Lepisosteus oculatus: one gene and its partners. The protein of the gene in region 1 interacts with the protein of each later gene in a pairwise test. Links are inferred from orthologs where the notes say so. Each region holds a gene or a part of one and is shown in the gene's direction. Other genes may lie near its edges.

Region 1 (7,221 bases):
CCGAAAGCTCTTAGATTTTGCAGAGACTCCAATTTGTAAGTCTCCATGGACTTTCCAAAGTGGAAGCGAAAGTGGGTGGACTAGGATGATATCCATGACAGGATTCTGGGTATTTGTGGCCTTTGCAGAGGAGAAACAGTGCATCTGGGAACACCTTTCACCAAATTAGTTTAGAAAAAAGCTAAGCACATGCACAGACATCTGAACACAAGCATGTTCTGTACAACACACTTTGCCTTGAGAAGGGCACAGCATCTTCTGCACTGTTGCATGAGGCTTACCTCCTGTCGTGAAAGCGTCATGGGCAGCTTCTCTTCAGTTAGTTCAAGTTCCAATACAGGATTGGAGGAGGTCGATGGTTCAGGCTCATCTTCTTTTCGCTGCAACTTTAAATTAAAACCAAATTGAAGATCCCATGCTTAACAAGATACTGTAAATGTAAAGATTATATGAGCAATTTGTTACTTTTTATTTTGTAATATATTTAATTAAATAACTTTCCTTTCCAAAGGGCCACTGACATTGATAATGCATACAAAATACATACTAACAAGTCGACTGCTTACAACATTAAATAGCCTCAATATTTTATGTTGATGCTTCTTATAAACACTTAATATATATAACACCTCACTACTTCAGAAAAAAAAGAGAACAAAGGTGCTTTAATATTTTAAAAAACGCACTGAACAACGCCATCTACTTGAAAAGTATTTCAACACTGCACAACAGAAATTAATTTGAGACAATACTTGCATGGGAATCTATCAAGATTCTAAAAACAGAGAAAAAACTGGGTCAATTAGGGAAAGCACTGATCCTCAGTTAGATGATCCGGAGTATAGCACTGGGTTCCAGAACACAGAACTTGTCTTAAACATATAATTAAATTGCATGCAACACCTCTCAACAGCTATTTAATAAACCAACGTGACGTTAAGTTAATCATTCATGACAAATATAAACTAAACATGTACTGTAACACGAATTAGTAAGGTGACACTTTACAGGTTCTTTTGTAAGTCTTTAGATTCTTGCTCCCACAATGTTACTATCCCCGCTTCTCATAGTGACACTTGCCTATACTCTGCAAATAAAGTACTTATTAATGGTGCAAATTAATACTTTAAAAAGGACAGTTAAGCAAACAACTCCGGCTGCCTTGAAAAAAGGAAACCACCATGCTACAAGACACTCTTTATTTTTCCTGAACAGATGCAGAAAACAAGGAAAGTGTTTTCAATGCTTGTTCACTAGTACTCCATTATTTTAAAAAATACATAAGTGTATTTTTTTAAATAATTCAATTTGAATCATGCTTTCAGAAGCACATGCACTTTTCCCAATTACAGCTAGCAGTACAAAAAGAGGTAGTTGTAAAAAAAGATAACAGGCAATTTAAGGGATCTCTCAGAAGCACCGCAATATCTGCTAAAAAGCAACAGACTATTATTGAAAGGGGGAATTTTTTACTTGGAGCTAAGATTTTTTTTTTATAAAAGGTCACTAATATTTGTGATCCATATCTAAAACAAAAGGGTGAGTTTAAAATATCTTAAACTGTGAATATTAAACTGTCCAGAATAACTGAAGTTAGTTCCACCCTATGAATTTTTTAGTTTCAAACTGGTGCAGCCAAGACTTATTTTCTTCTGCTCAAAACAATTTCACAGTTTGCTAGTTCATGCTGTAAGCAAAAGAAAATGCAAGAAAAAAAAATCAATGTGTTTCAGCATGCCCAATTTTGCTCTACAGCAGGGACAAATCTTTGCCCTCTTTAATCCCATACCTTTCCTGCTGGCTTCTCATTAACAACCTACAGTGCAATGCAGACAGGATGGAAGAGCAGCATTAGATGTTATAAAGACAGGGTCTGAAGAACAAGCCAAAAAAATCACTAAGAAAGCCAGAGAACCTTTATAGAAAGCACTGTATTCATATGTGCAAAATATTCTAATATACATATAAACACATGATTGGAATCAGAAAAAAAGCTGTAACGAGCTGATAGGCCAAAAAAAGTTCTGGTTTGCAAACATACACCATGCATAACTACTGGATAACTGTTGGAATTTGAAAATAAAGTACGGATTTGATCATTTTACATTTAATTGATATTCTGGGTTAACACTGTGATTGTACAGATCAAGACAAGCTAAAGAGAAGCAAATGTACACAGACATCATTAATGTCCAAAAGAAAAGAATAACAAGTCTGTACTTTAAAAGAGATCTAAAATCCGATAAACAGAAGCCGGTATGTTGGAACCTAAGGGTGATTCACTAAAAGCATCAGGTGTCATACAACCTAAGCCAAATGTATTTAGATCCTCTAGGTCAGTGACCATCCATCCACACCTGAGATCTCATGAAGTGCAAAGACGACAGACAGGCAGTTTTTCAAAACTTTGGCAATTTACCACACAAAGAATATGACCCGGACTGAATCAATCTTCCTGAGATTGTCACTATAAACACATTTCTCCCTAATCTAAAGACTGTATAGCTGTACACTAGACCTCCAATCCTTGTTTGTTTTGGCCATTTTTTAGAGTGCATGTATTTGGCAAATAATGAAGTCCACTGATTTGAAGGAATATTTCCCTAAGGAATAAATGATTAAACTTGTATGGTTTGTCATATACTGTATTTTATCTTATTTTTCCATGGAATTTCAGAATGTGAAGAAAATATTATTCATAAAGTATGATCTCCTTGCATAAGATAAAAGGTCACTGTACAAAATAAAGTCCTGCTACCATTTAGCTGTGCTGCTCTTGACTCCAAGATAGAGAGGAGTAGTTGCACTTTGGTTTTCTACTTATTCACAGAGAGTCTCTCTGCGGTTTTGCGTTTAAATGAACCCAGTTTCCGACTTACATCCTAGTGCCTAAGTTGCCAATTAACTGTGCTCACTCACAGCATGTGCAACTGTTCTGGCCCGATCTAACGCCTAAAATTCACACAGGGAAACACCTGTATAAGGCTATCCGAATACAAATCTATAAATATGTCAGCACTGTACCTTATAACCACATCTTTCATAATAGGATTCTTCTTCTTTTCGGGCAAGCTCGCTGCGTTTAAAGAATTTCTTTGACTCCTGCAATACAAGAGTTGACGTTATGGCACTCAACATTATTTAAGTATTTAGTTTAATATCTCATGAAAGGTAGCAGTCCACTGGACGTCCATGCACTGATTTAACATTTCGAATTGGACAGAAACAAGCAAAAAATAAACTTCGTGTTTAAATACTACAGACTTATTAAAATGCTGTCGACAGCTTCGGATATAACAGTAAATCCCATGGAAAGGGTCTCTTAATGTTACTTAGTCCTTTACTGTGATATTGGTATACTAGACAGCGTTTTGTAAACACACAAATATCCATAAGTATAAAGCAGGTTATCGTTGCGGGTAACACCGAGTGATAGACGGTAAAAAAAAGTCATTTAAACCATCATAAAATTGAATATTTTCCATTGGACACCGGTAACTCACACCAACAAGCTCCTTTTCTTCGAGGAGCTTCCTTTTCCTCGCTATTTCAGCTTTTAAAATATCCATGATGTGATAGCATGTAACACAAACTCCTTCGGTGTTGTTAAAAAAAAACACACAAAACAGGAAGCAATTCTCCAACACTTCCGTCGGTTTTTATACGGTGAAAGGTCAAGGGGCGGTGTCAAGATACACAGATGCTGCCAGAAGCCGAAACCTCTGGAATAAAAAACCTCGACAGGTCATTGGTGTTGGTACCTCCCTTATGCAGATCTCTCTCATTGTTAATGAGAACAGTGCTTGTCCACACAATCACATGACCCATACGCTTTTACCTAATGATTAAATATGCATAAATTGTGGTACTGGCACTGGTTCGAAGCATATTTGACATTAATTAATTGTATCGTACTAAGGTGCTATAAGTCATCGATCTCTGCTATTCTTAAATTATTCAAAATGTATTATTACTATTACTACTATTAACTTTTCGTGAAACAGACTTGAAATAAAAAAATTGTGATTAATATATATATATAATAGTATTGTGCTTTCCTAACCATTTGACTAGTTTAAACAAAGGTGAACAGACCGTATAACAAGGACACCGAGAGGGGCTGAGATACTTTACCCCATTTCCTCAGTAAAAAGTCAACTAGCCTTAGCCTCAAACCATTCATTCTGTGTGTGGGTAACCAGGTGATGAACATCTAGCCTACAAAACAATTCCATCAGGTGGCGCAAAGGAATATGGAAAATATAAGTACACCGATTCATCTTTTTGTAATACAAACGGATTCGCTCTAAAATAATAAATAAAGATCAATCGATTACTAGTACAAAATGTTTTATTCAAGAGCTGTAATTAACACGGTTAATTTTCAAAACCATTAAGGGCGTATAAACGCGAGGCTAAGCAGTTGGAACTGAAATACTGTAATGAGCAGGAGTTTTTGCTGATTACAGAGACGGACCCCGGTCCTGCTGTTTATTCTGATGTACTACACGCTGGAGTTCTGCTTTAGATTTCATTCCCTGGTCTTTATCGCACAGATACCAATAATGGAGTTTTCTGAAAGGAAAAGGAGCAGAAAATCCCAAAGCTTCAAACTGATTAACGAAGAAGGTAAGGCAGGGAATTTATCTTGTCACGATTCGTCTGCAGTCGCTCCTTTGGGTATTGTATAAACAAAAAGGTTAAAATGAAATAACCCTTGTTAAAGAACACGGAATGCACCTGCAACGTTTGTTTAGTTGAAAGGAGATTATTGTCCATCAATAGAAACACAGTATACATAGACATTATTTAATATATTTGTCACATGGGGTATACACAACGGAAGAATAAACTAATGCTCGAAGAATGCATTATATATGTGGTTGTTTTCATGAGGAGTAGGTAGTCTGAAAGGCACACTGACAAACCGACGGATATCACTGAACTTGTATTTTCTGTCATTAGATTACAAATTTATAAAAAGTGCATTTGTTCGAGTGTATATTCATTATGAAAATTTGCGTTAAACAATTCTGTTGCGCATGAGAATGAAATAATATCAGCAATATCAATATTGGCTTAACGTGATCTGTAGTAGTTTAGTTTGGTTTGATTTGATGCCAAGTTTGAGCCTGAGAACTAGACTATTTTATATTCCACCTACAGGTGGTAGAACCTAACAGCGTGCAGTGTGCAGGAAACTAAACAGGCAGGTCCAGTCCTGCCTACAATAGTCTTCATTCCGCTAAATAGTCGTGCACATTCACTACAGTGTAAAGACAGACAGCGAAATATTTCCTAGGTCCCATTATACAGAATATTGTTTACGTTTTTCTGGGATTTGATACTCTTCCTACATTAGTAATATGAGAGTTAGATTTTCCAAGAGCAGTTGTTTCAAGGTTCATTTTAAAGAATGTTTTAAAATTTGGCAAATTTGTTCTTTCAACGATACTGACTTTATGAAGTAAATGCTTCAAACATCATACATATAAATATGTTGGTGATGTCTTGTGTGAAGCTCTCATTTAAAGCATAATAGCTTAATAGTGAGAGTTATCCTCTAAGAGCCTGTCTTTTAGAGAGTATGTGTCAAAGAGATGGATAGAAAGGAGGGAAACCTTGAACTATTAATTCTTGAAAACAATTATGATTAATTATTTCCTTCCTCTTTGACAAAATGATGATATGATTTGTATAAAATATTCAGATGTATTTTGCTGTATCATCTGAACCTTGGTGGGTAATCCATGGTAATATTCCTTGTCTTTCCAGATTACGAAGCAGAATACTTTGCAAGCAGTAACACCCTTGATGCAAACGGGGAAATAAATGATACAAAAATGGCTGAAGGTACATTGTTTATTTCTTATTGAATAAACAGGCAAGGATTATGATAACATTAATCTTGAAGATACGTTCAGCTCTTGCTAAAGATATATATATATAGTTTATGCTGTATAAGTAATATTATTTTTCTGTGATGAGTACTTTTAGCTCAGTGTGTTGGTCAGGATTTGTCTTATTTTGTCTTGCAGCATGGTTACTAGCAGACATCCCATTTATTTCAAGTCACATGGCATTATCACAGTGTCTTTAAGATAGATTGTTTTTTCTTTGTTTGGTCATGTGTATTGTAAAATACAGTCAATTTTTTCCATTTGACAATTGTACTGTATCTGCATAGCATAGCACAGACAGAACAGTATATTGCAGTAAAAGTCAAACAACCATACAGTAGTACTATTGAAGCAGAGTGCTGGGATGTGGATTCTAGCATAACTGAAATTTAAATTTTGGAGACAGAAAAAATTGAAAACTGCTTTTAATAATGTTACAATATGAATGCCATATCCTATTATTTCACAGATTTATGGACATGCCAGAAATGTTCATTTCTTTCCATCGTGTTCTTCTATTCATGGTTTATGGTTTATTTGGTTGCTGTGAGGATACCAAAAGGTATATTCTAAGTAACATGCCTGTATTTTTTTCTTTTTGCTGCTTATGTCCAGAAAAGTTTTGAAATTTCTAAATTTACAACTCGCCAAACTCAACTTTGAGATGTCAGCTCACATGGAACAGCATATAGGGTAACCATTCTGATCCTAGTAGTGATTGAGTAATATTCACTGAATATACAAGAAGAATCTAAGAAACTTTGCAAACCAGAGAAGTCAATTTAGCCCATCTAGTTAGTCTCCAACACTGTAACTAACCAGCTCTCATACAGCAATGCCTTTGTCCTGCTCACTGTCATGTAGAAATTGTGTAGCCAATACAATATGTTTTCCTACTTCTGTAATTGCTTCGCATCTGCATTACCTTGGATTAAATTGCAAAATAGTTAATAATGATAATAACAGAAGTAGTTATACTAGTTAATGATAATAACAGAATAACAAATGACAGAGGTCAAGTTGAATATTACGCAAATGGGAGAAATGGGAGGAAAGCTGCCACCTTAAGAATTAGGGTACATTTCAGGTGCATTAAGGTGGATTGAAGAATTAATGGTTGCATTAAGATGAGGGCCATTAAGCTATCTGATGAAGGATCACACCTTAACAGGTGTAACAGTCTGTTAAGGTGTGATTATCAAACTGCAGCTAGTCAATGTCTTGAAAATAGGTGTAGTTGAAATGGGTTGCTAATTAAATTAACAGGTTAAGATTATGTCCCATAATGCAGACACTGTTGCATTAAATCAGGGTTATGCTA
Region 2 (7,011 bases), on another chromosome or scaffold:
GCGCATTCTGTCTGGGTGTATAGCAGACAGCACGAATATGAGGGTGGCAGCATTCACACTTTCCAGTGGGATATTCTTTGACAACTCATCCTTGGTCAGGTCACACTGGAAAGCCTCGCATCTCTCGGCGTTGTACAAGGGGTTTTGCTGAATTAAAACAGTGGCATCAAACAGATACATTATAATAGACTAGAAAAACACGATCTCACACTAAGCCATATTTAATATATTCAAAGGAACAAGTTATAGGGGTGAGGAACACCCGAAGAACACCCAAATCCTTCCACCTGAAGAAGGCTCCACAGCCGAAACATTGTGTTTTCTTTCTTCTCCTTTCAGCATGGAATAAACCTATTACTTGTTCCTTTGCAGCCTACACATGCTGACGCAGCTCTCCACCTGAACTACTTTAAAACATTCAGATGGTTTACTGATAAACATTGTACATTATCATGCTTCAAAAGAGTCTGAGCACAATGGGAGTATAGTGCTTTTTATGATACATCATTTCAAAGTGCATTACAAAAATAATTAAGACAACTGTACACAAATGAGTACAGTAAAAATAAAAAAGTGAGTTTTAAGACAGTATTTGAAGGTGTTGAGTGACTTGCAAGATCTGATATTAGCTGGGAGATCATTACAAATGCTTGGAGCAACAGAACAGAAAACATGGCCTCCCAGTGTTCAGAGCTTTGTTCTGTGAACTGAGATAAAGACAGACTCCAAAGAGTGTGTATGCCACATCCGTACAGGGAGTTAAAAATGCACTGCTGAAGTCAGAAGTAAACTCATTCCTTGATGAGAAGCAGTATTTTCAGTCTTATTCTGAGATTGTTCAGGTGGGTAGCTGCGTCAGCTTGCGTAGTCTGTAGTCCTTAATTTATTCAAGCTTTATGCATCTTGAATATCTGACAGTTTGTACACATTTTGTTAACTGCAAAACATTATCACCTGTGACTATGTCATGCTGACGACCATGTGATATAACAATGTTTTAGATCATTACCTAATTAAACCCGCATTGCGTACAGTGCAGGGAAACGCACACTTCTTACAATGAATCCCATCTTAATTTGGCACTTAGCAGGAAAGACAAAATAATTGCAATTTTTACAGTGTGGCCTTGATGCTGAGGCATTCCAGCACTTCACAAAACTAAAAACAGGACAAATCTCAAAGACAAATTAACAAAAACCACATAACAATGCATTAAAACATTTTCAGGTTAAATTAAAAAATAAATAAAGGTTTCCACATTTAATATGTCCAATTGACATTCATTGTCTGAACTGCCAGTGGGTTCTGAATCAGCAAAAAATATAAGACTATAAATATTTCTTCCAGTTTACTTACTTTCACAAACTCCACTGCCCTTGGGGAAAAGTCACAAGCATACACAAAGATATTGAGATCTTCTTCCAACAGTGGGAATATACAATTTCCAACTCCACAGCCAGCTTCTAACAGGATCAGTTTTTGAGCCTCAAACTGAAACACACAAATGTTAATAGGAATATAAATACTGACGTTTTTAGTTTTCAATGAATTTTGTGGGGAAAAAAATACTTTGCCTCATTGGCTGCTCATGAATACCACATTAAGAGATGGTAACTTTACACTGAAGGATAGAAGGCATAAGATTTCTACAATTTCCATAAACCAAAACCAAAACCATATGGCATTTATTACAGGCCCAACAAAGCCAATAATGTAAATTAACCTTCCTTGTCATTCTACATTGACTGAATTAATATTCTGAAACGGAACAACCAGGAATTGTCAATACACATGACCTCAATGAGTCTGCCTTATCAGTCTTAAGGACAAGTTCTAAAATGGATCTTTTACAAAGACAAAAGTATGTAATGATATATATGCAATGATTTACAAGTTGAATAAACCTATAATGTGGTAGTCAATTGTCCTCCACTTTATGCTTAATTATCAATCCAATCTTCAACTGGGGTAAATAAACAATTCAGAAGCAATTAATTGGAAGGTTTAAAGTTCTGTAATGGGACGCAAGGCTGACTACCCCTACACTCCAAGCATCTCACTTTACTTTGATGAAGATCAGGGTTGAACACACAAGGAACAATTAAAACGCAGCATCAAACTTCGAGCTGATATTATTGCTTTGGCCTCAAGGACACAAAGCTGATCAACATATTTGTGTTCTCTCGAATTGACTGCTGTAATGCTCTACTCGCTGGGGTACAAACTCCTGTATGTCCAAAATTCAGCAGCCAGAATCCTGACCAGGTCTAGAGCAAGTGATCATATTACTCCTATCCTGGAGTCCTTGCACTGGCTTCCTGTCAAATTCCGTGTGGACTTTAAAATCCTCATGCTCACCTATAAGGCTCTGCTTGGCTTGGCACCTCAGTACCTGTCTGAACTATTATCGCCCTACTCCCCACCTCGCAACCTTCGCTCTTCTAATTGTGCCCTCCTTACTGTCCCCCAAGCCCATCTACATTGTATGGGTGACAGGGCCTTCTCCTGTTATGCCCCCAAGCTCTGGAACTCTCTCCCTAAGGATATCAGAGAGTCACCTTCTCTAAACTCCTTTAAATCCAGACTCAAAACCTTCTTCTTTAGAAGAGCCTTTAGTTAACTGGTTCCATTCTTTACCCCTCTGCTTCTGCTTTTCATAGTTCCACCATCCACAGTCTCCTCTGTATATTGTAATTGTGTTTTATCTTGTGTATTCTTTTTATTTATTGTTGTTGCCATTCTGTAAAGTGCTTTGAGAAGCCACCTTTAAAGGCGCCATATAAAATGGAGTTTATTATTATATTGTTATAAGGACACAAATCCACCTGCCATACCTCTCTGCACGCTTGGAGCTCCTCAAACTCTCTTGTGGTCCAGTGCCTGTCTTTGAAAAAGTTTGTACTGTTTCTTTTGTAGAACAAGTCCCAGTTTCTCTGTGCCTCCTTCTCGAGCTTCTGCTGTTTGAAGTCCGACACTAAACATTGGTCTCCTTTCAGTTTCGCCCTCTCCTCCGGTGACAGAGCCCTTGCACAGTGTTCCTTTCTCTGGAATACTGCCGCAGACACCTCAGAGTCCGCAAGCCCAGCTAACTGTGTCCCAGTTGAAGGACTTGCACTGTCGCCTTGTGGACCGCAGGCATCTTCAGAGTCTATGCCCTCCATCCTAAGTGGCATACAGAGTTTTTTTTTTTGCACAAACTACAAAAAAAAATAAAAATAAAACCGAAGGAAACAGAAATTTGCAACACAAAAACAAAAAAAAAACAGCTAATCGTTCTATCGCAAAGACTCAATTGAACTTGAAGAAAACAAAACACATACAGTGTGCAACTGCATTTTCTAAAATTATGGGAATGAATGGGTTACCCGTATAAAATAATCTTAAAATTGTACGCAGTATTAAACGTGTCAAATTCTTACACGTGCCTCAGTTAACCAGTCGTATTTTGAAAGCAACTGTACGAACGGGGACGCAACATTTGCTTTTTTGCTCCATAATAGTTATTTTGTACAGTTACTCCATATAACATATTTTAAACATGAATGCGTAAAAACTGAGGTCCAACTATTCCAGTTAAAATTCCACCCGGAATATTACAACTAAAACATCCTTTCCGTCGATTAATTTAATCCGTGTTAAACCAACTAAAAATATTGCGTTCCTGCATTATTTTGATTGATGATTTTGCAAAAAAAAACTTGTTGTTTATATTGTATTGCTGTAATTCAGTTTACTTTATTTCCGTATTACAGTTGCAGTACTTTTCCCGTGTTATGGATATGAAACTGAATAATTAAATTGTCTTTGTAGGTAAATGTTCAAAATTGGTTTTTTGTGCAACGCACTCGCAATTAGATTATACAAACACAAATCATGAAGATGTTCAAGTTTTTAAAAATTGCCTTTATTATCAGTTAATTCTCATGACGTTGAAACTTCCAGTTTTCCAGTTTGGTCTCGATGTTGTCATCGGCGACATTTGTGTGTCGGACACAAACAGGAAGAGGAGTGTTTGTTATGCTCGGCCTCCTGCAACTGGGAATCCTACAATCTGGTTTTATGTCCCACGACTTTTTTTAAACGTGTGTGCCGCTGCATGTTTTATTTATTTTTTTATTAATGTGAATCGGACATTGAAACTGGAAACATGAATGGGAGTTCTAACCCGTTGTTAGACAAAGAGCATGTCCTGAAGCTCGGAGAGAGCTTTGAAAAGCGTCCGAAATCATCATTTCACACCATCAGGTGTAAGTGTGAAACTTTTACGTTTATTCACAATAATCCTGTTGTTAACACACGAAGTCTCAGCAACGTTTTAGACGTTATAAAGGCTCTAAATGTTGTTTACTTGTGGGGCTAATTACACGTATGTGCAGTGATAATACCTATCTTGGGGAACGGAAAGGTTAGGGAGTAAAATTAGTACGCTGTGAATTCAGAAAGGGATTTCTTTGGTGGCTCCTCGTGAATTTAGAACGTCTAAAAGTTGGAATCCTGATTTTTTGTCATTTTCAGAGCATAAGTATATTGGGTAAGAAGGTAAGATGTAAACATGATAGAATATTTTTTTTTAATTATACTCCTTTCTTTATGGGCTGTATTGTTAAATAAGGAGAATGATCTCCATGGATATGATTTTATAATTATTGTATTTACTAATCAGTTAAACTCGACCAAGGCAGCTGTGTGATGTGATTCTAGAAAGGAGTGTAGGTTCAAACCCTGAACGTGATGCTGCTGTTGTACCTTTGAGCAAGGTGTTTCACCCACAGTTACTCCAGCCAATACCCTGCATACAGATGAGCGCACTACAGGTGTACTCTGGATAACTGAAGACTTATACACAGTCTCAGATAACAGCTACTGGCTGTAAAGGCTTGGTGCTACTGTATGTGTGTTCTGAACCTGGGCTTCTGTCTTGGTGGAGTTTGCATGTTCCCCCTGCTCATGTGGGTTTCCTCTGGGTATTGTGGGGAAACCGGCACAGGTGCGAGCATGTGTGTCTGTGATCTGCGATGAACTGGTGTCCCACCCAGGGTGTGCCCTGCCTCGCACCCCTTGCTGGCTGGGATCGGCTCCGGCTTCCCCGTTACAAGATGGATGGGTGGTGTGATGGGGCGAGGAGAAAGGTTTTCTTTCTTTGGTGCGAGAAACGTTTTGGAATGAAAGTGCAAACATCGCAGATGGCTGTCAGAATTCATTCCGCATCCTGTGCTCCCCAGATGACTTTAAACCAGCGTCCATCGACACATCTTGCGAAGGGGAGCTCCAAGTAGGCAAAGGAGATGAAGTCACTATCACTCTACCTCACATTCCGGTAAAGCCCAGTCTTCACCATGGCTCATCAGGCTACAGACCTAAAATGTAGTTTGTAGTGGTCGTTAGTGGTTAATTTAATGCATGGCTGCTGATTCCAGATCTCTTGATTCTAAAATGAATTTCTTTTTCTTAAACTGATCTCTAGAAGTCGGTAAAGTTGTAAATTATTAACTTTTTACTGAAAAATTGAAATTATGTCAAAACTTGGGAGAGTCTTACTTTAAAATATTGATGTAGAATAGAATTTATTACGGTGTGTATAACATTTTCTAAATTAAAGTTGTGTTGTTGTTGTTGTGGGGTTTTTTTCCCATTTCAAGGGCTCCACACCACCAATGACTGTGTTCAAAGGTAACAAAAGACCATATCAAAAAGACTGCGTGCTGATCATCAACCATGACACAGGGGAGTTCATGCTGGAGAAACTCAGCAGCAGCATACAAGTGAAGAAAACCAGGTAAGAGCCATGTAACAAAATATACAGTGCCCGAAAAGACGTTAAACAGTTAATTCATAATGCACCTCAAAGCCAAATGTCGAAGTGTTTTGTTTAAAGAGCAGATAACACTCTTGCTTACAGTGTACCGTGACGGCAAATTAAATTATTCTGTGCTGTTGTGTTTAAATCATCTTGCTGTTCGGTTTCAGAGCGGAAGGCAGCAGTAAAATACAGGCAAGAATAGAACAGCAGTCAGTACGGGCAACTCAGCCTCCCGCACAGTTCAGAGCTCCGACCAAGCCTGGCGTCGGGGCTAAAACCTCCCCTACTAAAGACAACCCCTCCCCCGAGCCCCAGCTGGATGACATTAAGAGAGGTAGGTGCCCATTGAAGATTCTGTATTGTAACCTTTATTTGCAGGATTAGCCAAAAACAATTTATCCGTTGGGCAGGTGGGTCCTTCATGATCAGTGGCCACAACACAAAAGAGTTTCCTTTTTCAGGATTGTTTGCCTGTTCTCTGATACAAACTCTGATAAAGCCTTTGGGGTTACAGATTGGGCTGCAGTCACTCAGCACATAGGCACTGGGCTCGAACCCGGACTGAAATGCCTTCTGTCTGCAGTGACTGTGTGTTCACCTCAGGTGGTCACGGGTTTGTGCTGCTTTGTCGGGGTTAATTAATGCGTAGGGATGTGTCTTGCATTAAAAAATTGTGGATATTGCTGTGCAAAAAATAAATAAATTGATCCAGCAATGAGGACAAAAAGTGTGACCATACTCTAAGGCTCTGTAGTCACCCACTCAAGCTGTATCGGCAGTTTGACTGTCGAAGTCCAGAGAGGGCCTGTCAGCCACACCCTGCTACATGAATACCAGTGCTTGAAAAGAAACATCTAACTAAAGGGAAACAATGCTGTTCATTCTTGTCCACATTGCCTCATCCTAGAAATCTGGGCAGGGCAGGGCAGGGCAGACCCCCCTGTCCCCAGCTGCAGGCTCCGGCTCCTCCCCCTCTTGAGTATCTCAATATACTGTCTGATCACTGCAGTCCTGTCCCAGAGTCTGGTTCATGTGTGCACTAACAGTCTGCGTATATACATTTGTTCATTACTGAGACAAACGTGCTGAAGGGAAGGTGATCTATTATTATCTTAGAAGGTGAGTAATACCAGGACTTTTTTTACTCATAGATTCCTGTTTCTCAAGGGAATATAGAAGAGCAGCACTCAGGTGTACGGAGGGAAACAGTT
Region 3 (7,938 bases), on another chromosome or scaffold:
TAGAATGATGTGCAATGTTTTTCTTTGTTATTTTTTTGTAATAGTATAATGTGTAATGTTTTTCTTCTCTTTTTTTGCATTCTATTTAAATGTACAGTAGTGCTGGGTGTCCATAAAAAAAATTCCCTCACTGGACAATAAAATCTTATCTTATTATAAAAATCAAGATGTGATTTGCTTGGACTTTTAGTAGTCTAATTTTTGACCATTGAACAGGTCAACATAGTTCAAACTTCTTTATATTTTATAGAAATTATGTAAAAAATGCACATAATATATATGTTCCTTTGAATCACAGATCATGTCTTTTGAATATTTTATGTTTTAAATAAGTCTGTATTAAATGTTTTGTGGTACTTTTTTTCCCAGTAATGGAAAAATAAAAACACTAATGCAAGTTCATCAAGATGAGTCATTTCTCATCCCCCCCCAGAAGCCTGGCATGCTAGAGTTTCCCTGCTGACATTCCAGAAATCTTTTCATCTTCTGAAAAGCACACATCACTGAAGAAATAAACACAAAGACCAAACACCAACCTCTACCCTTCGCACTGCAGCCTTTCTGCAATCACACAAAATACACAGCACACCTTTCTATTCCTGACAAGATAAAGGGTCCCTTTTCATTTACTCTTCTACTTTGAATGTACCAGATGACATTTTCCTCAGGTCTCACCCAGTCCAAATCCTAACACATTACAATGACACTAGCACCTTGCATTTAAAGAGGACATAACCAGATTTGGGGTGGTATGGTGGGGCAGTGGTTAGCATTGCTGCCTTGCAGCACTGGAGCCCTGGGTTCAATTCCTGAGGTGCTGTCTAGGTGGAGATAGTTGTGCGCATTACATTTGTATGGGGTTCCTCCCACAGTCCAAAGACATACTGGTTGGTTAACTGGCTTCTGGGAAAATTGGCCCTGAGCTGGTGTGAGTGTGTGCATGTTTGTGATTGTGTGTGCATTGCTTTGGACTGGCGACCTGTCCGGGATCTATCCTGCCTTGTGCCTCTTGCTTGCCAGGAAAGGCTCTGACTGCCACCCAGCCCTGTACTGGATAAAGCAATTAGAAAATGGATAGATGGATAACCAGATTTGTGCCCGATAAAGTCCTGCTGTTTCCAGTCTCAATGGAATCTCAATGGAAATTCACTTCCTTCTTGTCCCTTATAATTGAGCTTTTCTGTGCAGTTCACAAACAGAAATCACAATGAAACTCAGGGGCTATCAAGTTGGCTGACCCATTCAAACAACTGTCTTGTTTAAAAAGTACACTGTAAAGAAATGAAAATTTGGTAAACTTCTAAATAAAATCAATTCTGCCTTTCACTTCTTGCTTGCTGGGACAGCCTCCGGCTTCCCTGCAACCCTGTATTGGATAAAGTGAGTAGAAAATGGATGGATGGATAAATAAGATCATAGGATCACTTCACCCTGGCAATATCTGAACAAATCAGGCGGAAAAGATATCATCAACATCAACAAGAGGGAATACAGTGTGTTCCTGGGATGTAAAACAGCCAGCGCACCTCCCCTGCGAGCACCCAGTGGAATTATACTCCAAGTGCAAAGTGTTCCCCATTGTCCTATTTGTATTTGTATAACAACAGTTCACTTCTGCATGGAGCACTGTTCTCATGACACAGTTGTCAGAAAAGGCCAACTTTAAAAGCACCTTGCCTGTCGGCATGTGCAGTTCATAAAGTTTCTGTAAAAAACAACAACAACAGAGCACCATTTGACGCCCAATTACCTGTGTGTGACCTCTTATGGAGCTCCAGATTGCTGGGATGTTTGAATGTCTTTCCGCACATCTCACAACAATATTGCTTCTGGTAGTTTTGGAGGTGGGCAGCATCTGCCGTGCCAGCTGCCGGGTTGTGCTCAGGCTCGTCCAGCTGTGCGAGCGAGGCGCTTGGAAGCTGCAAACACGGCGCGGGGGCAGCTTTACTTTCCTTTTCTGCACTGTGGCTGTCAGCGGAATGGTCGTTAGCCCCCTTGCCCCTGGGCTCAGACTGATTTGTCTCTTTCGGGGCGCTGTCAGCTATCCCGTCCGCCTGTAAAACAGACTCCTCCAAAGCCTTCTGGGATCTCAGGTAGTCGTATTTCTTAAGGTACACTGCCTTTTTTGGTCGAACCTGCCTATTAATTGGAGAGCCCTCACCTGCAGAGCTCTGACTTGCATTGTGCTCCACTGCTGGAGACATGACAAAACTAGACCCCAAGGATCCTGCTGACTCAGACACACAATGTGCCGTGTTGACAGCTGACACAGGCATATCCACTGGAGGGTTTGTGTCTGTAACACTGGAAGAAAAGTGCTCCCCTACCACAGTACTATGAGGTGGATTTACAGCCCCATTCAGAGCTGCATTTTGTTTAAAATACTGTTTGCTGTAAAAGTTTCGCAGCTTATAACCATGACTCAACTGCTTATCTGGGATCACTGAAGCACCACTCAGTGGTTCAAAGGCCGGGGTTTGCAAATGTGTCTGTGGTCTTCTGGAAAGATCAATGTCTGTAGTGGCACACGCAGGTTTCTGAGCCTCAGAGGAGCCGTGCAACTCCATCTCAGGAGACAAACTGGCCCCAAGTATGCATTCAGTATCTGTTGCCAAAACACCTGGTAATGAGAATGAGGAACTACCAGGGAGGCTTCCCGATGCTTCTATGGCTGGAGTGTATGGTTTCAGGAAATTATTGCACATATTGAGCACATTTGGTATTTGGAGACACTGAGCCATTTCTAACATTCCCTGAACATTGTCCTGGTTCAGATCAAGATGGGACGTATACATGAAATCCAGAATTTGCCCAATTCCTCCTACATCTTTAATGTCAAGATGAAAAACATCAGTTTTCTGACCGGGTGAGTTTTGAAATAAGGACCTGGAGAAAAAAACAACAACAACAACAACAAAAAATGTATTCATAAAGTTGGAATATTACTTACTGTAGCTTTTTTTAAAACCCAGGATTTAGAGTTTTTTAAACATTTCATTCCAATTTAACAATGAAATTACCAACATATGCATAATACAAAGTGCTCAGCCATATATATTCAGCATTACTGAATGTTTTAGCGCTAGTAAACTTACCTAAAATATGAACTGAAGGCAGCCAAGACATTTTTGTGGGCCTTAAAACAGACTCCCTTGACAACCAGCATGCAGTCACACAGAAAGCCCTGGATACGCTGCTCTTGGAGCTGCTGAAGTAGGTAAGAGCTGTGACTGGACAGAGACTCCATGCTCAACCTTCATTCCATAGCTCACCCGTAGAACCAGGACCATTCTCATCAGGTTTCACATACATGACTAGGCTGTTGAGCAAAAAAACAAAGTATGAGTGCACATACCCTGCAAGTTACAATTATAAGGACAACTGTAGTAGAAGGAATAACAGTTCCTCTCATTTATATACAGATTTTCATCCCATACGAAACTAAAACACTTAACATACAAAAGGGGAACTACTTCATTCACCTCACCTGGGTGACGAGACCGCCATTTAAATCTTAAGGAAACTATAAAAAAAGCAATTCTTTTAACACAGAAGCTTCTGAATGAGTTAGAGGGAGCGTGTAGCCCGAGCTACAGTGGCCAAGTACGATATGAATCGAACGACTGTGTAGTATGCACCAGGGTGCAATGTGAGGGACATTGAAAGAAAAGGCACCGTTTCATCTTAATGGAGAGCACAAAATGTGAAATATCAGAAATCAAGTACAGCTTCAAGATTTCAGCTGCAGCGAAATGGTTTTGCGTCTGTGACTCTTCATCTGAAAGTGTCACAGCAGTTTTGGTTAATTTCACCGCACGTGTTCGGCCACTAAACAACACAACACACAGCCACACTTGACCCAAGTGGCTGCTTTCTTTCTGCCTGCAGAAAAACCACGCAAGCTACGGCGCCTTTATCTCATTTCAGTATCCCCAGATATAAAAACTGAAGAGACCTGCCAAGACAAAAATAGGCCCAGCATAGAACAACAGGCAAATAAATTAGTGCTCAAATATATAAAACAGACAATAAAACACGTATATATCAGGTTCTGTAGCACACTTACAGAACCTCAGAACAGGTTACATATTAAACAAAGCACAGTTTAATTCAGTGATATGTTTTAAAAAAATACCTTCTTTCCCGTTTTGTTTGGATGATCAGTCACCACGTCCTCTTGAACCTTTACCTCACTTCCGCAACAAACTGTGATCGAAATCGCCACCTAGCGGTTAGAGATAAAATAATGATGTGGGGATAAAAAGGTGTGTTGATTTTTGTTTTTTATTTTGGTTAGATACTATTGATTTAAGGGAGTGGTCCAAAGTAAATTATGCACTTTCAAAATAGTAAAGGCACTCCCTTTAGTGGCTTTAAAACCTATCACGAATACGGATTTTTCACTGTTCTGTGCCCGAGCTAAGTCTGTTGTTACGGTTCCCTTCTGATTTTTTTAAGTTTAAACTGTTAATAACACCAAGCCCTCATTTTCTAGTATAATGAATATAAGCAATTAACACAGTTTTGCGGGTCATGTGAACTCAGGAGGACACAATTTTTCCAGTTCCACTCTACACGAATCCTGAATGGCAAGTCTGGAATCCTCTTCCTGGAAATCTCATTTAGGAACAAAAGTGTTTTGCCACTGAGCAACTTTCTGTTTAATATATTTCCGGAAAACGTATATTATCAAAGGGATTTAGGTTTTGCCCGCGATAATTATTCAGTATATACAATATGACAATAACCCATTATCGTTTTTAGTCTTTTTTTAACTTTGTTGAAAGTTTATTTTGTACATTCTTATTGCCACTTGAACGTATTACACTAATATTGTGTCAATACTATAAGACTAAGTAAAAATTTCGATTTATTCTTCGACCGATATCAACAAGATTATATTCAAAACTAATCCAGAGCACTTTTGGGAACATCAATTTGGGTGCGGTGTTCCCACGGAATGTAAATAGTGTAACACTGCTTATCCGGAACACGTGAAGTTGCTCTAGGTATGTTCAAGTGATCTGTAAATTCGGACGTTTAAAACAGTAAATGATTATGTAGTTTTAATTTCGTATACATGTACACGAACGGTTTAATTAAAGTAAAAATATCAACATTGCAGTACTGTGTTTTCACTAGGAAATCTTTAATACAGAGAATTTAAAATTTTAAGATTTTTCATTTACCCTAGTCGCTGTCACGTGTTTTTTTTTATGGTTCCAGGGTCGCAAAGATCTGATTGGGGAATATTATTTTTGTGTTCCAAATTCGAAGTATTTCAGGATGGTTTTCTTCACCTGCAATGCATGTGGAGAATCATTAAAGAGGGCACAAGTAGATAAACACCTGAATATTTGTCGGCACTGTCAGTGTTTGTCGTGTATTGACTGTGGTAAGGATTTCTGGTGAGTATCTTTTAAGGTCCAAAATATGTTACTTTAAGGTCTTTTAAGGTCCAAAATATGTTACTTCCCAGATTCGTTTTTTTCTTTTTCTGCTGGAAGGGTGGAATTAATGTAGTTTGCAGTGTGTGCGTGCGGAACGTTGCCTTCGTTAAGGATCACTCATTGAAAGCCACTAAATAACAAATCGAAGTTAATTTTTATTTTATAATCCGCATAAAATAGGTTTACTATTATTGTATTTCATCCTAGTTAATTGAGAACGAAAAAAAATAATACCGCTTACTATCAAGAGGAAGCCGTTTGGTTCCTAACGGTTAAGTGATCTAGGGATCTCATCCACATGTTTCTTGAAAAAATCCAGGTTTGTTCCTACTCGTTGTTGAAAGAAGTGACTCCTGTTCTCAGTTTTAAATGAACTTCTGCATACTTTTCACTTGTTACCTTTGGTTTATGGTTAAATGTTTTCAAATTACTTTGTTAACGCCTTAGAGAATTTCCAATATCAGAACCAAGTTTCCCTTTTTCTATATTTTATCCAAGACTAAAAAGAAACAGCTGTTCTTTTGGCAGTACATTCATTCACTTAAAAGAATCAGACTCCTCTTTGAAATGAGCAGTAATATTAATTTTTCTATTCTGGTAAACAAAATTGTATGTGATATGCTGAATGTCTTACTAGTGCATTGTACAATTTTAATATAAAACCCCTTGAATTCATTTAATTTTAATAAGATGATTTTAGTTATGTAACCTAGCATTGTTTGTTTTTTTACTGTTTCCCTACTTTGGTTTGATGAGTCTTGTATACACAAAAGTCATACAAGACTCTATCCCGTTTAAGTCTGTATTAATATTTCTACCTTAAAAATATTTGAAATATTAACAGTATCCTTGTAGGAAATGATAATCTTCAACACATTTAATGGATTATAATGCATTTGTTGTTGTTTTTTTGCTACAGGGGAGAAGACTATAAAACGCACCTTAAATGCATCAGTGAAGATCAGAAATACGGAGGCAAAAGCTATGAAGCCAAGAGTAACAAGGGAGATGTGAAACAGCAGCAGTGGATTCAGGTAGATCAGTGTTGTCACTTCTTCAGGACTACATCAGACTTCTCGATATTTGTTCATAGGGCATGAAAGTCTGCTGCAACCTAATTTTATCATCATGATAGATCTGATGTATATTGAAAATGCAGCTTGAAAATTTTGTACTATCATAGATAAATGTTTTATAAAACTGTAAATCACGTCTGTTTTTATATTTCAAATTAAGTATTTTTTGTCACTAGGCGGGTGAGAAAAAGAATCATTGATGTCTTTTATTATAGAATAAAACACTAAACTAAGTGTTTTGTTTTAGAAAACAGAGCAGTATAAAATCTATGTGCTCTGTAATTTAGTATTCTGTTTTTAATTGTAAACCTAAAACCCGTCTTCTTACTGTCGTCTATGTCTGAGTGTATTATGAATTGTTTTGTGTGTTCTTGTTTGTATTTTTATCATTATGTACAGCATCCTTGGGTTTGGACTGAATCTGAATAGTTGTAAACAAATGTCATTATCATTCAGGTTATGTGAAATTAAAAAGTTTTAGCATTTTGACATTTTTAACTGGATATTGTTTTCCCTGAAAGTTTAATCATGTAAAATATTTATGTGTTGGGATGCAACTGTCCTGCACTTTTGTTTTATTTTTTTAAGGTTGAGTGGGCAATTATTTTTATTAATAAAAAAACAAGTTGAATTGCACTGACCCCTGTATCCACATGGACAAAAAATAGGCCCCCTGTCTTGCTATTCAACTTTTGACACATTACAACGACATTGAGTACTGATTGACAGTAATATATACACATCTCTGCCATCACCCCAGACCTGCCAGCATCCAGGAAATCACTGTGGTTGCTTTTTTACTGGGAGCTAAGAGAGTTCTGGCTGAGCAGTCTAAACCCTCTATTGCCACCATGTGGTCAATCCTGGTCAGCATTAAGCAATTGGCTCAAGCACAGCCTGTGGTTGGAATGAGCACTATTACCTTGTTGAGCCACTCAAGGGGCCCATTCAGCACATTTCCCAACTGTCTTTGAGCAATTATTTGCTAAACTTGGAAAAAATGATTTCAGATAATTTCAGCATGTGAATTTAGGGAAAATGGAAAGTGCTTTTGGAACTCAAGGGTAAGTGTTCAAAGCCTCTTTTGTAATGTTAGTAATGTTTCTCATGATTTACTTTTCATATCGTTCAGGCTCCTGAATGTTTTGTTGTTCACAATTCTTACACGGTTATCGTAAATATTCTCACGAGAAATAACTGCCTGTAATATTTATGAGAATAATCTGTTGTAGAAAATCCATGAAGCAGTGAATAAACCAGGAATCAGTCCAAAATTACGTGAGGTGCTGTCCCAAGTGAGCTCCTACGACAATGTTCCAAGAAAAAAAGGAAAGTTTCAGGTAAGTGAACTGGTTTGCTTGTCTGTTATTCCAAATGTGATATAATGATATTATGTGATATTATGCTGTTCT
Region 4 (7,005 bases), on another chromosome or scaffold:
ATTGATCCTTAATTCACCTGGTGCAGCAGCGTCTCTCACCTCTGCCTGTTCTGCTGTGTAGGAGGGCTGCTCTCCAGTGGGGGGTAAGTGGGCTCCTTCATGTATTGCAGAGCTCTGTCTATATAAGATCACTTTATTGGCCATATACAATTTCTATCATTAGGAATTTGTCTTTCCACATACCCCAGCTTTCTGGAAAAGTCCTGGACAACTTTCCCCCCGGCCTTTACCAGTCATGGCCTCCTAATGATCCTCATCTCTGAACTGGCTTCATCACTCTGCTCTCCTCCCACTGAGAGCTGGTATGTGGGGAGAGTACTGGTGCATCATCCAGGTGGGGCTGCACACTGGTGAGGCTGGAGGGGATCCCCATTACCTGTAAAGTGCTTTGAGTGGAGTGTCCAGCAAAGCACTATATACAGGTAAGTGCAAGCAATTATTATTTATATATGTTATTTTAACAATTAATGAAAGCAACAGTAACAGAAACAAAATGACATAAAATCTTAGTATTGTAGTATAGTATGGGGTCTGCAGAAGGGTAGTTCTATTAATTTTTAAAGTGTGTGGCATGGGTTAAGAGAGACTTAAGACTGCGTAGAAAAGCTGGGCACGGTCATGCCGCGGGTGCCGTGTGGAAGCAGAAAACGGCGCCGCTGCTTGAGAACGCCGCCCTCTAGCGGTCGATGCTGGTGCTGTGTGCGACGCTAAACACATTTAAAAAAATGTTCCCATAATCGATTCCTTTTTGAATACACAAATCCTGTTACTTCACGGCGGAAGCTCACGTACAAACAGCTGTTTCGTTTGACATCTTAGACAAAGAAATTCGCAGACTGTGACTTCAGGAATCGCACAGCTAAGGACGCAGCGACAATTTTTCCTAAAAAAAACCCTCCCCCGCTTAATTCGCCATCCGAAGGGCTACCCCATCCCACTGTTAACACCAATATAGCGCTGTCGGGTTCACGCGCCCTCGCCACTGCCGCCTCCGGTTGACCCCCCACCGCTCTAGGGACTCGAACCCGGACCTCCAGCGTCACTCCACAGGGACCCAGCCTCTTGAGCCAAAGGGAAATCTCCCGTTAGCCCGGCGGCTGCGGTCTCTGCTCTCCACAGGGAAGGGCGGTGACGTCACCGCGCTGGTAAGACGGCTCGCACAGCCTGCAATGTCGGCGGTCTGCGTTACAATAATAATGAGAAGAAGAACTTGGTATTTACTATTTGTACTGAACTCAAGGACACTGTACATAGTCATAAATAATAAAAAAAACAAAAAAGTAAAGGATAGTAAAATATAAAAACAAGAAATTACATTAAATAGGATCACCAGACGTCTTTTTCCCCCTAAATCTCCGTCCGGGCGGAGACATATTCCCTTATTCTTTTTCCCCAGTGATGTTCGAATCGAAATGGCTCTTGTACAAATATCTACCGATACAAATATCAGCAGAACCACAGCCCATCCCCCGTTGACAGGGGATTTTATTTTTAATTTAGTAAACATTTAAAACAGAATAACTTAGATGGTGGCTCCTCCACAGCTGAGTGACCAGTAACAAAACTCGACTAGTCTTTACAATTATTCGAAATATGATCTATTTAATAATTATTTACTTGTGAATAAAAAGGGGAGAAATATATGTTCAATACTGGAGTCAAAACTAACTTTTAACCATTTAACTAAGGCCAACTAAAAAATATTGTCAATAAAGTACCTCACAGTTTCAGGCAATCGGGTATTCCTGCGTGTTATTGAATGCCAGCCGGAGGGTCTTTACTGGGCAGACACGGTAATTAGGAATTCAACTTCATGACCTTCCCAGTGCCGTATTTCAGGGAAGGAGGACCGGAGCTCTCAACAAGCCCCACTTCAAACCCAGAGTTGTTGAACTCCTGAAGGGTGAGCGACGCGCCGTTTTCCACATTAAGGCTTGGTTAGGCTCGGCTGAGGTGAACAAAAGTGAGAAAAATATATCTGAGGGCCACCAATTTCTGTCTGTTGTTCCTTTTTTCAACCCTAGTCATGCCCCCCTTACAATTCTTTAAGTTAGGGAAATAACGGAAAATTACAATAAAGCAGGACACAACCTTTTTTGTCCTTCTGATCACTCAGTCGCATTTTTGCTGACCGCCAGCAACAGCTACATTAAGGGTGAAAACAGCAAAACAAATGAAAGGCCTATGAGCTGATACACCGCGGAGATCCAGGGACTGAGACAGGCTTCGCAGGTTCTGCTCTTCATTGTGCAAGTCTTACAGCTGGCGGAGACAGGCAACCCCTCCCAAGACACCCAGGTACCGCACCCCAGTCATCCCAAAACACAAGCGCCACAGCGTCGTAAACACAAATAGACCCAGTGTGCCGGCATAACATGAACCATATTAAAATGTGCTGCAGATATCCGTTTAGTATTACCACCTTCTATAATGCTACCTTCACACATGTTTAACAGATCTATGAAATTTGACTAATAAAGACTTTAAACAGGGAGAAACGTATTATTTAATATCTTCGAGGGAAAACTGTCGACCTTTGGGTAATACAAGTTGCTGCACTCTGAAAAACTGTTTTCATTACACAATTTATTCACACCATTACAACACAAGACTCCCAGAGATCACTAATATAACAAAATAGCTACTGACACAGAATTTAAAATGTAACAGAAAAAAAAGATTAAAAAACATTATATAAAATATTTACTGTTGTGAATTTAGCAATTATTAATGATTTAGGAGTCATTAATAACACAAGTCAGACATTAATTTGAGTTGACAATATGATTCAATAAAACCTTACTCTTTGATTTTTCAGAATTTAGTTTTGCATCCAAGCAGCTGTTTTACACATTGACAGGCTTACAGGAAACATATTAGTAGTACAAATAAACTTACATTAAAAATAATTGTAACATTACATTAAAGACATCAAACCATACATAGTCATTGCACATCCTTCCTACAGGAATCCACAGAGTTTTCCAGAACCTGTGAGTTTACTCCCCTTGTACCCTAAGCCTCTATAATTGCACATGACCCCTTCATTTTGCACATACCCACTGAGTTTAGCACACATTGATCCTCTGGAAAACGAATAACTTGCAGAAGCTTTTCTTCTAATTCTGTTTCCAGCTTCCTTATGGCTAAAATGACAGGCCGATTCCACGTCTCCACTCAAAGCGCTTTACAAGTAATGTGGTGGTGGAGGGGATCCCCATGACCTGTAAAGCGCTTTGAGTGGAGTGTCCAGCAAAGCGCTATATAAGTGTAAGCAATTATTATTATTATTTATATTTAAGAGGAGCATTTTAGAAAGATGCTTTGGGAGGTTCAGTTCCCAAATAAATTCCAGTACATCAGAGAAAACAAGACACACACACACAAATCAACCATATTTATAAATGAAGGCAAATAAAGCATCCCTTATGTTTCAACTTTGAGAAGAAAACATTTTCTTGGGGAAAAGGATCAGAGGAATGCGTTTTGTTGCTTGAAGTTCTAATTTATATTGTGCAAAACTGCTCAATTGTTTAAATGATTGTACGTTTACAGATAATACATGCGAAGAATTTCCTAACACTTAAGAAAAACGTTAAAAATCACTGATGAGCGATAAATCAAACCACAAGCAAGCAGCACTTTCTTTAACACACGTTATGAAATCCTACTACACACCAAAGCAGCAGATTCAATAGATTGAGTTGCAACGATATTAGAGGAGAACTATATTATTAACCAAAACAAATACAACACTGAAGTACAACAATTTATTTAGAATAATAGTCGATTTTTATTCCAGATGTGTTTTTCATTTTGCATGATGTTTAACGCTCTAGCGGTAACGAATGTGCTTTTACTAAGTGTCGAATTCGTCAGCATCATCACGGCAATCAATGGAAAACAAAACAGTTGTTGGGTAAATGTAGAAAAATCTTAATCTGTAGATTCGCTTTCAATGTCTTTAAAAGTTATTTGATTTAGGTGGAAGAAAAGACAAAAAAAAGTTTAACCGGTGAGTTTGAAAGAAAACGACTTTTTAAAACGAGTTTATTGTTAGGCAGTGTTTAAATCGCCACTTAATAGTTACCTGCCTTCTCCGGTGCTTACTGTCGAAACTGCTGCTCCGAAAAGTCAAGCTGTCGTTTTCCAAGCGGAGGTTTGAGAAGCTGATGTGTTTCTGGCGAGAGACGTATCGCTTCTTTAAGACACAAGGCGGAGGGTGGAAAACAGAAAAGGAGCCGAAACTATCGGAGAGAAAGATGTCACCCGAAACAAGCTTCTCGACCGAGTCTTAGAAAGGGGAATGGGACCGTCCTGGCTAAACAATGCTAGTTGGGGGCACGACTTGGGCGATTTGAAAAATAATCGTTGACGGAGCTTTTCCTGCTAACAAAAGACGTAAATAAAACACGAGCGAGAGGAATATGGGGAGGTAGGCGCCCGTCGAGGAGAGAAGTTTGTTTTCTTGTGGAAACGAGTGAATACAGGCGAGAGGGCGATGTGAAGAGCAGCGGAGTCAACATGATCCCCACTTGATGCAGCCGGAGTCATCAGCCGCGGGCTGTCCGAGCGAGAGCGGCGACGTGTTCGTCTACCCCGAGAGACGTAGACGCAGCTGTATTTCAAACCGTGTCCAAGTGTAAAGATTCACAGAAGCCCATCCATATTTAAGCATTTCATTAGAGAACATAAACGACTGTTCTTGGATAAAGAGTTAATATATAGCTGAATGTTTAGGTGCTGCAGGCTGTGTTTAAAACTATATAAATATTATGATTACTGTTGGGCAAGACAGGGGCAGAACGTCAGCAGGACCTGAGATTACTTCACAAGTTTGAACTACTGATTCATCGCGGTGATTAAATACTCCCGCCATAGTGCATCTGTTGCAGGAAAAATCCAGGAAAAAAGAAAGGCGACTAGTCGGATACTCAAACACTAGAACAAGCCACTACCTTTGGCCGGACAGCGAGGTGCAGTTGGTCTGCAGGTGGTTCCTGTCATGTGTTTGTAGTTTACAAACAAAACAACCGATCTTAGTGTGGGCTTCACCTAACCGGGAGTGTTTACACCCTTTTTAAAGATACTGTTTATTCAAATCCTGTAAACGCTGGGGTAGGTGTTTTGCAGTTTTCGTCCGTTCTAGCTTGGTAGAAATGAGAAAATGAACAGCGAGGCGCAGGATCTAGAGTTGAGCAATGGGAAAGCGAAGAAATCCGCTGGCGAGCAGGCAGACTGCGCAGAAATCATCCCCCGACTCAGCCTGCGGGAGGTGGACACAGCCGGGCGAGTGGTAGAGGGGGAGACCGCACTGGAGGTGGTGGATGGGGGGGGCGAAGAAGAGGTAAACGGGGACGACAGAAATGGGGTTCAGGTACCCCAGACGGCCGGGACTGATCTGGATTACGGCCCAGCAGACGAGCTTGTAGCGGCCCAAGGGCTTGGTGCCACTGGGGATGATGCACAAGCTGGCGTGGATTTGGCATTGGAGGACGGGCAGTGGCCAGAACCGGGCCCTGTGCAGCCCGAAGGGGGCCCGGGAGACAGGGACATTGTGTCCACTGATCCAGATGTGGCTTCGGAGTGCCCAGCGAGCCTAGGGACCCCACCCTCGACACCGGGGGCTGCTGAGTGCGCGCCCCTTCAGGTGGGGGCCGGTGTGCCCCCCTCACCGCCGGATGAGCACGAGAAGCTGAAACACGGGGTGAAAAGGGTGACTTTCCCCTCAGATGAGGACATCGTATCCGGAGCTGTGGAGCCCAAGGACCCCTGGAGGCATGGTAAATACCGTCCTTCCGCTGGCACCTGAGTTCCTGCCACTGTGTCTTGCTGTTTCGTGTCCAGCCCTGTCTGCTCTCATGACAGCACAGCGGCTGCGCTGTTAGACCAGATGGCACATCCTGAATTCCAGGCCTCTCATCTAGTGGCGGGTCAGATGTGAGATTTCAGGCTGATGGTGGTGAATGTGTTTTTCTTCTGCTCAAGATCCTGTAACAGTAGCTTGTCAAGTTGCAGGTCTGCTAAACTTCATGTGCTCTTTTTCCTTCGCAAAGACATGTCTCGGGTTTTAAAGATTTTAAAAAAGTGATTGATTGGAAAATAGATGTGCCTAGAAGGAGTGGAGTGTCTTGTGCTAGTAGTGTCCTCACACAGTCCTTGTTAGTGGAGTAGTAGCAGACACGCATGCCATGAAAACAGCCGTTACCTTCCCACAAATTTCCAGTTCTTCAAGCCAGGCCCTGCTTCATCCCTCCTGTGGTTGATGGGTTCCGGGCCACCCTGTGTGACCCCGAGCCCCAGAAGCATGTGTTCTGCAGTGTGTCACAGACAGAAGCTCTCGCACTGTGCGCTGGCCAAGACTGCCATTTGAAAATTACCTCCCTTTGTCCTTCTGATATTGTTTACGTTGGGCTGCCAGCGGAGCTCTGAGTGACGTCACAGAACCCGGTGCAGCTGTCTGCGCTGCGTCCGCCCCGTGAGATGCCACCTTAGGGGTCAGCGGGTCTCTCTGGGGAATGGTTATGTGCCGCTGTGCAGCGAAGTCCTTCTTTATGCTGCCAAGCCTGTTTACTACCTGCTTGGAGGGAGAGCTGTACAGGATGAAGTTAACATGTTTTCCAAATCTCCATATTAAACCTACAGGACCAGGGCAACACGACTCTGGTTTATGTCGTCAGCTTTGTCTTTCCTCCTGCGTTTTCTTGCTTGTTGCACAGCTAGCTGTGATCCAGTGTGTCCTGTGTGGACCTCTGGGGTTGTTTTTCAGCTCGACTAATTTGCCGTGTTCACAGCTCTGAGGAAATTAGTTTCCATCTAAACCCACTGGAGAAGCCATGCAGCTCTGCCAGCCTGTCGCACCCCTGCTCACCTTTCAGCTCCTCATCGGTGCTGGCAGAGGAGATGCCAAGCAAACATCCTCTTGTTTGTAGCCATTCTTGTGCAGACAGAAGTTAAATGTTAGGGACAAATCATGAGATAACAATCCAAATCCCAGATCTTAAT

Evidence for each region.
Region 2: the proteins of bend7 (region 1) and eaf1 interact in binary tests that used the Homo sapiens proteins (3 or more experiments, as listed by UniProt). The two-hybrid records come from large-scale screens. The link is inferred for Lepisosteus oculatus from reciprocal best matches to the Homo sapiens genes BEND7 and EAF1.
Region 3: the proteins of bend7 (region 1) and lyar interact in binary tests that used the Homo sapiens proteins (3 or more experiments, as listed by UniProt). The two-hybrid records come from large-scale screens. The link is inferred for Lepisosteus oculatus from reciprocal best matches to the Homo sapiens genes BEND7 and LYAR.
Region 4: the proteins of bend7 (region 1) and ppp1r37 interact in binary tests that used the Homo sapiens proteins (3 or more experiments, as listed by UniProt). The two-hybrid records come from large-scale screens. The link is inferred for Lepisosteus oculatus from reciprocal best matches to the Homo sapiens genes BEND7 and PPP1R37.

Annotation. Positions count from the first base shown.
Region 1 is NC_090702.1:14,200,343-14,207,563, reverse strand, and holds the start of bend7 (BEN domain-containing protein 7), read left to right. Parts: upstream 1-4,203; 5' UTR 4,204-4,499; coding exon 4,500-4,629; intron 4,630-5,775; coding exon 5,776-5,853; intron 5,854-7,221. Other genes in the region: prpf18 (pre-mRNA-splicing factor 18), read right to left, coding at 282-386, 1,790-1,816, 3,025-3,102, 3,504-3,569.
Region 2 is NC_090705.1:41,671,494-41,678,504, reverse strand, and holds the start of eaf1 (ELL-associated factor 1), read left to right. Parts: upstream 1-3,993; 5' UTR 3,994-4,147; coding exon 4,148-4,247; intron 4,248-5,222; coding exon 5,223-5,317; intron 5,318-5,639; coding exon 5,640-5,776; intron 5,777-5,967; coding exon 5,968-6,134; intron 6,135-7,011. Other genes in the region: tRNA N(3)-methylcytidine methyltransferase METTL6, read right to left, coding at 1-147, 1,357-1,491, 2,835-3,173. UniProt on the Homo sapiens protein: Acts as a transcriptional transactivator of ELL and ELL2 elongation activities.
Region 3 is NC_090696.1:43,715,829-43,723,766, forward strand, and holds the start of lyar (cell growth-regulating nucleolar protein), read left to right. Parts: upstream 1-4,916; 5' UTR 4,917-5,009; intron 5,010-5,226; 5' UTR 5,227-5,286; coding exon 5,287-5,408; intron 5,409-6,369; coding exon 6,370-6,484; intron 6,485-7,758; coding exon 7,759-7,866; intron 7,867-7,938. Other genes in the region: zbtb49 (zinc finger and BTB domain-containing protein 49), read right to left, coding at 1,751-2,886, 3,096-3,247. UniProt on the Homo sapiens protein: Plays a role in the maintenance of the appropriate processing of 47S/45S pre-rRNA to 32S/30S pre-rRNAs and their subsequent processing to produce 18S and 28S rRNAs. Also acts at the level of transcription regulation.
Region 4 is NC_090698.1:1,061,402-1,068,406, forward strand, and holds the start of ppp1r37 (protein phosphatase 1 regulatory subunit 37), read left to right. Parts: upstream 1-3,983; 5' UTR 3,984-5,167; coding exon 5,168-5,783; intron 5,784-7,005. UniProt on the Homo sapiens protein: Inhibits phosphatase activity of protein phosphatase 1 (PP1) complexes.